3 linked regions of the Nothobranchius furzeri genome follow. The protein of the gene in region 1 purifies or fractionates together with the protein of each later gene. This does not show direct contact. Links are inferred from orthologs where the notes say so. Each region holds a gene or a part of one and is shown on either strand. Other genes may lie near its edges.

Region 1 (3,657 bases):
ATGGCCACAAAGTAGTTCCCTGAGCGCTGAACAAACAGGAGGCCGATGGAGAAGGCCAACGTACAGCATCCCACTGCAGGAGGACAAACACACCGAATCCTCAGGGTGTCAGGATAAGGTCCTCTGACCGTCTCGGGGAATAAGTTAGAGGTGTAGAGTTCATATTTTCCATTTTAAACTTAGTTTGAAGCATGACTGTTTAAACATCAATATTCGTACAAGGCTGAACAAAGACTAACCCGTCAGAAACTCCTTGCGGACTTTGAAGGCATCGATCAGCGGCGTGAGAATTCCCTCGATGGTGCCAAACATGCTGCCGAGGCCCAGGTTGATCAGCATGAGGAAGAACATGACCGACCAGAAGGGCGAGGCGGGGAAGTGGGTCATGGCTTCTGTGAAGGCAATGAAGGCCAGACCTGTGCCTTGGACCGCCTGTTAAAGGAAGGAAAACAATCACAAACCAGCAAACCAGTAGGTGGCTGCAGAAACAAGCCTTCCTCCAGAGATGGGAAAGGTTTCCTAGATGTAGTTTCATACGCTGACTAAAACATTTAGATCCTTCTGAAACACGGGCAGATATTTCTTTGGGGTTACCTTATTGAGCTCGGCTTCAATGCTGCAGGGCTCCAGGCCCAGGTTCTGGTACTCGTTCTCCTTCACGCCTCTGAGAATCTCGGTCATCTGATGGTAGTCGTCAGCGCTGACCTGACTGACCTGAGTCAGGTTTATGTGGTGGGGGATGAGGCTCGGTTCAATGCCATTCCCCAACAAAGCCACAATCTTATTGGTGTTCCTAAAAGACAACGAGACAGTCTTTAACACGTGTAGACAAACTTCTGGATTTGGACGGTCTTCCCTAAAGACCTCTGGACCACACTTGAGTGGTTGATCGCTCACTGTCCGTTCTACTCACAGAGAAATGCATTTGCTGGTCATGATGTTGGCTTTAAAGCCCAGCACAGCAAACACCACCAGGGTGGCCAGCACGGAGGTGAAGAAATTGATGAATGATACCAAGACGGCATCAAAGTGGCAGTTGTTGTTGCGCTTGTTGTAGCTGGAAAAGGCGATGACGCCGCCGAAGCCAAGACCGAGCGCGAAGAAGACCTGTGTGGCCGCCTCTCGCCACACTTTGGCCTCCAGCATGATCTCCAGCTGAGAGCAGTGCAGGAATACTGGGTTAGGGTTCAGTGTGCCTCGTCAAAATAAGTCAGGCCCACACACACACACACACACACACACACATACACACACACACACACACAAACACACACACACACACACACACACACACACACACACACACACACACACACACACACACACACACACACACACAAACCCTCACTCCGCAGCCTGCATCACTATTATGTAGATTATTTTCATTGAACTGGCGTTTTCCTTGATTTATGGTAAACACATAACTTCAAAAATACACATTTAAGAATTTAACAGAAATACGTGAAGCTTTCATAAAATCCAGCTTGTTTAGATGAGAATCTAAGGACACGCACGCTGGAGGAGCTGAGAGAGCACACATGCGACAGGCACTCTGCTGACTAGGAGTATCTTCTGCTGGCCGGCTACATAAGGACGCGGTACCTCCTGTTTCCATGGAGACACGGTTCTGTGGCCTGTCATGCTATTGGCTGAGGGTGCTGGAGAGCCAGCCTATCAAGCTACAGATGTAGTCTTTTGAGTTCCAGCAGTTAAACGGTGAAACCATCAGGGAGATGAGGAAACGGCTCTGATATGGTAATCTAACAATATGTTTAATTCATTAGGATTAGCTTTAATCCTGTATTTTTGCCCATATTTCTGTTTATTGAGCAAAAACTACTTATGGTTTACATGTAAGCAGATAAACCAGCTGTAGAGGACTAAAACTCAAACGTAAAACAGCAGTAATACAGAACAGAGTCTGACGGGTTAGGGTTCACTCTGACCTCTGATGTGCTTTACCTTGGGTGTGAACATGTGACGAATCCCGTCCACGGAGCCCTTCAGGAGCAGCGCCCGAGCCAGGAAACAGATCAGAACAACGTATGGAAACAAGGAGCTGAAGTACATCACCTGCAGGGGGGGGGGGGGGGGGTGTCATCAGTTTTACACAGTGGGTGCTGGTTTACAGTAACTATCTTTATTATTCTGACAGCATCATAGGCCCTGCCTGCATGAGACATAACACCCTGTAAAACCCCTTCACAATAAGAGCCTGGTAATTAGGGCAAGCTTAACGTAAAAACATAACCCTCTCACAGTTGAACGTCACTGAAATGATGGAGAGTCGGGTTATAAACAGGAAAGTGGGACGGACTAAATACTGGGTTCACCATGTTTTTGTTCTGATAACTATAATCAGCCCGTTACACACACACAGGTGGCGACCTCCATGTTAGGGCTTCCACAGTGAGATTAAATGTGTGAGTGCAACAAATGATTTGAACCAGAAACAATGCAAATAGAAGGTATATTTCTACAGCGGGACATTCTGCTTCAAGTTTCTAAAATGGGGGTTTTGTACTTTTTCAACACTTTTCTTTACAATAATTATCCCCCCCCCCCCCCCCCCCCACACACACACACACACACACACACACACAGAGGATTTGTTCAGAGGTTGGATCTGAAGGCCTGAGTCAGCCACGGCGGCTGTCGGGGCGTGGTTGCACTCTAACAGGTGATTTGTGGTTGACTCATTAGATGACTCAGAAACATCCCGTGTAGCTGTGATGGCGTAACGTCTCCTTAAAGATGAATGAAACCCCAACAGGACTGTGTAGTCATTGTTTAGAAAATGGAAACGTGTTCTCTGGTTTGTAACTTTCCCAAGAAGATGTCGTTTTTAAAGCTAAACTAAACTTTGGTCTACATTATGAATAAAACATCCAGAATTATAATACAAACATGTTGCAACAATCATGGTAGAGTATATTTACACTGCAAGTGAACCTTGGACACTCATGCGTTTATGTGTAGTTGAAAATTTCAATAATTTGAATCAGTTATAATTGCAATAAAGATCTGATTTGCTGCTGAGAAGTCAAGTGTTTCAACTGCTTTTCTCTCCTTTTGAAACTTATTTATTTTAGACTTTTCCCCCTCAGCTGCAGCTCTCGTCAGGGCTGGTGTGAGTCAGCCCTCCCATGGCTGTGCTTTCTTACACAACACAGCTGTAGCCTTGGTCAGAAAAAGCCACACAGCCTGTCTGTCTGCCACTGCAGCTTGATGCTCCATCAGCGATAACGCTAACAGATAGACTGCAGGTGCTGCTCGTGGGGGCCATGTTCGGGGAGCCCCTCTGTACAGGAGAGGTCACAAACATGTAATGTTAGCACACACAACAGCTCTAACATCCTTTCATGGCAAAAAAAAAGAAATTATTTTAATGATCACCAAAGCATTTTCAGCTATTTTATTGAAATCTGGTCCAACACGTGCCCAAATAAGATGCCCCCTCCCAACTCCTTCTTTGCCACACTCCTGGCAACTAAGCCAGCCAAAAGAAAGCGTGTAACCATAGCAACCAAACCCGTTTCATCCCTTTTCATACTCAGTGTTGGGAGTAACGCGGTACTAAAGTAATTAATTACTGTAATGCATTGCTTTTTGCTGTAATGTGGTAATGTAAGGCATTACAGGGAAAGAAAAAGGTAA
Region 2 (4,155 bases), about 38 Mb from region 1:
AAACTGTTAATCGGTCACTTTTCGTATTTGGTAACAATACTTTAGGAAACATCCAGTTTTTCCTCTACAGGCCATAACCTCTGCAGATAAACGCTGGTTTTTATGCAGTTTAGATCTGGTGGATTAATCTTCACCATGCTGTATGATCATAATCTGGATTTAAACCCATTCGAGCCAAACCACTGGTGGGACAGTGAACGGTGAAGGCATTTGGCTCCAATCAAAGGTCAGATCCCTGGAACAACAGCTGCAGCCGGCAGCCAAAACACAGTTTGGGGAACAAAAGCAGAAAATCCTCGTTCTCTAATGTTATGATCATCGTGGCTGTTCTCCACCGAGAGATCACACCGGTCTCTAGAAATAAAAAAAAAGAACCCATTCGTTGGACAAAAGCTAACTGTTAGCAGATTTAAAGTAAAACTGTCCGAGCCGAGGCCGGAACATCGACCCGTTACTCGCCGCGCGGCAGCTCTGGGACGTTCTCCAACACTGCAGCTTTTTATTTGTGGCTTCACAGCTGGACGTGCATGTGTGACAAGTCCCTCTGAAACCAGGGCTTCCCTCATCCGTGAGCAGCAAAGTGAGTTCCCAGAAAAAGAAAACGGCGTTTCTCTGCACTGAGCTGAGAAACGTCTCAGCAACCACATCAGCTGGCAGCAGTTCCTGTAGTGGAGTTAGTTGAAAAAGCCCTCGCAGTCAAACTGAAGACCGACGGCTGGAGAGCGTTTCTCGTCTTTGGAGTAACGGGTTTTCTCAGAATATTAACAACAGGTCAGCTATAAATGCATTTACATGATTTACATTCATTAGAACTTAATTGGAGCAATAAATCAACAGAAATGATTATTAGTGATTTAAGGGTCTTCTTGTTGTTTTGTTTAGATTAGAACAGTCCTTCTGAAGGACGAAAAGCTCGACTTTTCTCCATCGGTGTTGACATTCCCGGCAGGTGAGGTGTTTTCAGACCAGTCACCTATCAGCAGTAGCAGGAACTAAAGGCTCTCATCGGTCACAGCGGATCAGTGGAGTCACCAGACTGGCTCACGGTCCGTTAGTCGGTGACTGTAACTAATTGCTCAATGCACTCAGATTTTCCTTGTGTTGCAACGGTTTCAGGTGCTGGAGAGGAACAGGAACAGTCAGGAATCCTCTCGCCAACCTAGAGCTCGCCACACCCCCCTTACTTCCTGCCTCTGCCAGACTCTTCCTGGTTTAGCTTCCTGCTAAGTTTGTGCCGATTCTGCAGACAACCTGCTAGCTTCTGCAGGGAAACCCGCACTGAAACAACTGTGATGAGATGGCAAAAAGGAAAGGCACTGGTATGCATGAGTCGACTTCCTGTCAGGTGACCAAAGGTTGTCTGAGTGGCACGGTCTTCCTCTGGACGCTCCCTCTGAGGCAGACTGGAAACCAGAGCCGTCTCCTGCGGACGGTGTCAGGTTGGTAAAACGAGGAGAGTCAACTTTATCCAAACTTGGTCCTTTTTCTTCTCTAACTACACTTCGGTTGGGTGATAAACCCTAATGAGATTATACATATCAGGTTCAGCTAAAGCTACATTTCACCCAAACCTGCTGGATGTTTAAGAGTCTGCAGAGGAAGAACGCGCGTCCTGGTTCACTTTGTGACATCGTAAACACAACAGAAGCCACCATGAACAGTGGCGTAACATTTCACATTAATCTGTTCAATAGATATGCTGATTCTGTCTTTTTAAACCAAAGAAAATACCCGTTTAAAACCAACGTTTAGTCCTCACCGGTTTGTCTCTCTGCACACAAACATGCTTAAAGGGGCATTATGGAAGTGTGACAGCCAAAACATGTATAGAAATAATAAATGTCTTCTTCATACATTCTCCTGCAATGCCCTGGTCCTGTAGAATGAGCCCTGGCATTTTTACTGTGATTGCCTGTTTTTCTGTAAAATCACAGAAAAAGAGAGATGCTCGGGTCGAGCAGGCTGCTTCATGCGCGTTCACGCTCAGGCATCGCCCGTAGCATTTGCTATCCGTAGCTTTAGCAGCAGAGAGAGAGGCAGTGCCACTTTGTCGCTGTTCCTAACGCCTAGTGACAAAGCTAGCTACATTTCTGAGGACCCTTAGCTACTTTCTGTAGAACTTTCTTCTAGATATTTCCTGCTAATTAGCAACAAAACAGCCATTTTCACTCCGAACCGTTCTTTGGTTTGACGTTGTTTCAGCTGTCATCAAGGATATAAATATTACAGATACAAAGGATGTCACTGGTGCTTTAGCTCACCTAGTAAAACGTCAGACTTTCGTGCAGTGGATCTGGGTTCGATTCTGGATGTGAACATCGTTCATTTAGAGTTTATTTTTTACATTAGTGGTATATTTTTTACAGTAAGATGCCCAAATTTTTATTTGAGACTCGCCGAACGGCGTTGAATTCACAGATAAAAAAGATGTGGGTTCAACTTTCATTTTGGAACAATTTTTCAAGCAAGGGAAGGGAATGATCTGAGCATGCAGGAGGACTGACCCATCATAAACCTTTGTCGGCTGTGCTGAAGAGAAAGATACAGAACCACATTATTTAATTAATTAGCTGCACGTTCTCCTGTCCTCTGTCCTCTGGGCCACACACACACACACACACACACACACACACACACACACACACACACACACACACACACACACACACACACACACACACACACACACACACACACACACACACACACACACACACACACACACACACACACACACACAGAACTGTCTCAGCTGTTATTTTCGTTAAGGAGTGTGCACGTACAGCATGCGCGCCTCGTGCACGAGTCTACTATTGAAGCTGCCGTCACGCTTTTGGCCTGAGGGGGCGATCACGAGCATAAAAATTCAAAACTCCGTAAAGTCCCTTTAAACTAAACTTACGAGGATTTATTCTCTGGGGATCGGTTTGAGAAGAAAAGCTATTCAAAAGCTGCTGACAAGCAGAAACATGGTTTTGTGGTGGCGACGAAGAAAATCACAAGATTTACAGAAGACATAACGGCCCATCCTTCAGGAAATGGGTTTTGCTGACTACCAAAAACCAAACAGAAGGCTTTAGAAATCATTTTTATTGTAAGGTGATGAATTTAACTATGGAAAATGCATTCATGAGGATTGAAGCAGCAAATATTTTAGACATTTTGGTAGCATGACGAATGATGAAGCTGCTTCTTGACTTAACCATTTAAAAGTTGGGTTAAACCTCTTAAGATGAGATATTTAGAACAAAATGAAAGCATAACTTATTTTATATTAAATCTCTTTATCTGAAAGTTGCGTCCGTTCCTCCTGCACGCAGTAGCTACGCTGCTAAATAAGGAAAACAAGCCTAAAGCTGTGTGTCATCATCGAACAGGAACCAACAGCAAAGCCGGCAGCCGAGCCATGCACAATGCATTCAGATAGTTATTTCTACAAAAATGTGAGTATTAAAAAATAAATCAGGAAGAAGAAAGAAAAAAAACATGAGCAAAGCCCCAAGAGTGATGGCGTTATAGATAATCTGAGCTAAACCCCGCCCAGCTCAACAGACGCTTCTCTCTCATCAAGGGAACTTCCTTCTGAGTTTTCATATTTGCTCACAAGATTTTAGTTCTCTGTAGGCAAACGTCAGTTTAAAAAAGGAGAAAAAGTTCAACAAACTGGAAAAAAATGTTCCCATTTGATGTCAAAATCTAAATTTCTGACTTGAACAGACGCCATAGGACAGATTCTGAGGTACACCCTGTGGTTAAAAGCTTTGACAGCATCACAGGATTGCGTCATTCCTCAGCAGAGACCACATCATCATCACATTAAAGACCACAACTACCTTTGCACAGCTTCTTGAACTCCTCATAATCAGTCCCCGTTGCTGCTGGCACGATCATGGAGCCCTCATACACGAACGCAGCCCTGCAGGACAAAACACAGCTTTATAGTTTCCACATCTCAGTCACTAAAGGTCGCAATCAAGGCGCAGAAAATGCTCCAGACGTGTGTGTGTGTGTGTGTGTGTGTGTGTATGGACGTAATTTTCACTTTAGAAGTGGGGGGGGGGGGGGACACGGGGGTCTTTACAGTATGTTCTAATGGGAAACAGGCTTCAACACAAACGATTGTTTTCCGCTTGGTCCTAGAGCTCAACCAGTGTC
Region 3 (2,220 bases), on another chromosome or scaffold:
CAGCATTAAATCAGCCTAAACAAAAACATACAGCTTGAACATTTGTAAAGGTTGTTGAGACTTGTATTTTACTCAGCATGACCTATGTTTTCTTCAACTTTAGTTTCATTTAAAAATTTATGTATATAAAATCAAAGACAGCACTTTTTCTTGGTTTAAAATGCAGAAAAAGAAAGCCCAAAGCTGATATCACCACTAACATGCTTCACAGGTGTGATGCTTTCATTAAAGGGAAATCCAACATTTAACTTGAAACCTTACAGGTGAGCCAAAGGAGTTCCCTTACCACTATCGGTTTTGTTTTGTCTAATCTGCATTTAGTTAAGAGAGGATCATCTATAGATCCTTAGATGCTACTTTGATTTATTTCCCCTTTTCTGTGATCTTAGTTTATTATATATTAAGTATCTGATGCATTAGTTCTCTCTCTCACACACACATTAAATGCACCTACACCCCTACTAAAGAAAATACCATGCACTGTGTAGAAACTCGATGTGAAGTCATTTTTGCATAGAAATACAAACCCTTATTGTTTATCCAACTTCTTTATGTAACTGAATTGCAAAACATTTTCTAAAGATTTAACTCAGCATCCAAGTCTGAACAGAGGCAAAAAATTAACTGTCGCATCATCTAACTTATTTATTAAAAGCTTATTTTTTCTTTTTACATAGTGTTGAACATACATAATCTCTCAAAACAACAGAGAACCGAGTGCATATGAGATGCAAGATGATTTTTATATAGCTTTAGATCAACACTTTATATAACTTCACTTTAAAAACCCAAATGCAGCGGTCGGCCTTTAATCCTTAGTTAGAAGCGGAATAAATCACAACAAATGTCTTTAGTTCATAATATATCTGTGCAAAATAGGAAGAGTCAGGTCCCACATCCCCGATTCCAGCAGCTTCCTCACACTGAAGGCCATAAAACCATTTCTAACTCAGATTTTAAGCCTTCTATCTTCCATCAGGACGACTGTGCATTTCAGGTGTGTAAGTCAGAAGAACAATCATGACCCACAGGTGCAATACCGCCTGGAAAAAACAAAACAGAAAATCAAACAGGTAAAGACATAACTGAACAACCCGCATGTCCTAAATAAGTCCTCACCATATATAGAATAACAAAAACTCTGGCCATAGGGTAGCGCCTCAGAAAGATTCCCAGTCTTATGCTGCAGGAAAAACACATTTCACTCACTACTGTGCAGGTTACAAACAGGAAACCAACATCACCGATGAAATAATCTTACCTGAAGCGGTCGATAGTGCTGGCTGCCTTGCGTACTTTGCCATACACTCCTCGACTGTCCTGGTCACTGAAGAGCACAGGCAAGTTTCTCTGTCGAGCTCCTGGCAGTCAGTGAAATACTTTTAATACAAGAACAACTATTCAAAATTACGTTGAAGAGAACCAAACAACTCCTCCTCCTACCCGGACCCTCTAGGTTGCTCATGTTGATGGTCGGCCCTCCACTTTGTCCGCCCTGAGCACTCTTCAGCTGTTGCTCCAGACGCTCCAGCTGAAAGACCAGGGAGCTTTTCTCTGTGCCCAGAGCCTCCAGCATGGTCTGCTTCTGGATGAGCGTCTCTGTCAGCTGGTGGAGTCGATTCTCCAGCTCTGTCTGGCTGCTGCTGCTGATCGTTTTATTGGTCAGCTGGAGGAGCAAAGAAAAACCAGGAAATCGATGATCAAAGCTGATTTGTGTGGAGCATCTTAAAATGAGCATGCCGAGACGCCGCTGCTCACCTGATTCCTGAGTTTCTGGATTTCATCTTCTCGGTCTTTAATGCGGATCTGCAGAGTGCTTTTGGCTCGGTGTTGCTCATCCTCAAGATACTGTAGCTCCTAAAACAGCATTCTAAGACATTATGTTGCATTTGTCAGGGTGGTATTTAGACACGATCATAGGTCTCTTACGTGTTTGTAGCGCTCCACTTCAGCCTCCAACTCCTGCTTGGCCCAGTTTTGTAAGGCCTGTTGTTCCTGTAACTGCACCTGCTGCTCCCGCCAAGTTTCTGTCTCTGCCAGGGCCTGATTCTCCACATCCTGGGAGGAAATTAGACTTTAAAACTGAATAAGTCAAATCTCAGTGGAGTTTTGGATGTTTAATGACAGAGAATTAATCCGAGTCACCTGAATATTTTACCACAGCATAAAGAAGTAGGGATTATAAATTACTACCATTTCATAAAGCTCACCTGTATTTCT

Evidence for each region.
Region 2: the proteins of slc6a15 (region 1) and klhl36 purify together in Homo sapiens (co-immunoprecipitation; 3 studies listed by BioGRID and IntAct, counting the BioPlex papers as one, with this or other methods). This does not show direct contact. The link is inferred for Nothobranchius furzeri from reciprocal best matches to the Homo sapiens genes SLC6A15 and KLHL36.
Region 3: the proteins of slc6a15 (region 1) and golga5 purify together in Homo sapiens (co-immunoprecipitation; 3 studies listed by BioGRID and IntAct, counting the BioPlex papers as one, with this or other methods). This does not show direct contact. The link is inferred for Nothobranchius furzeri from reciprocal best matches to the Homo sapiens genes SLC6A15 and GOLGA5.

What each region holds. Positions count from the first base shown.
Region 1 is NC_091744.1:48,494,520-48,498,176, forward strand, and holds part of slc6a15 (sodium-dependent neutral amino acid transporter B(0)AT2), read right to left. Parts: intron 2,074-3,657; coding exon 1,963-2,073; intron 1,156-1,962; coding exon 914-1,155; intron 794-913; coding exon 595-793; intron 433-594; coding exon 240-432; intron 74-239; coding exon 1-73.
Region 2 is NC_091744.1:86,535,713-86,539,867, reverse strand, and holds the start of klhl36 (kelch-like protein 36), read left to right. Parts: upstream 1-1,306; 5' UTR 1,307-1,439; intron 1,440-3,833; coding exon of another isoform or gene 3,834-3,916; intron 3,917-4,155. Other genes in the region: cotl1 (coactosin-like protein), read right to left, coding at 3,834-3,916.
Region 3 is NC_091758.1:19,000,588-19,002,807, forward strand, and holds the end of golga5 (golgin subfamily A member 5), read right to left. Parts: coding exon 2,211-2,220; intron 2,059-2,210; coding exon 1,930-2,058; intron 1,858-1,929; coding exon 1,759-1,857; intron 1,667-1,758; coding exon 1,444-1,666; intron 1,362-1,443; coding exon 1,262-1,361; intron 1,184-1,261; coding exon 1,120-1,183; intron 1,044-1,119; coding exon 966-1,043; 3' UTR 631-965; downstream 1-630. UniProt on the Homo sapiens protein: Involved in maintaining Golgi structure. Stimulates the formation of Golgi stacks and ribbons. Involved in intra-Golgi retrograde transport.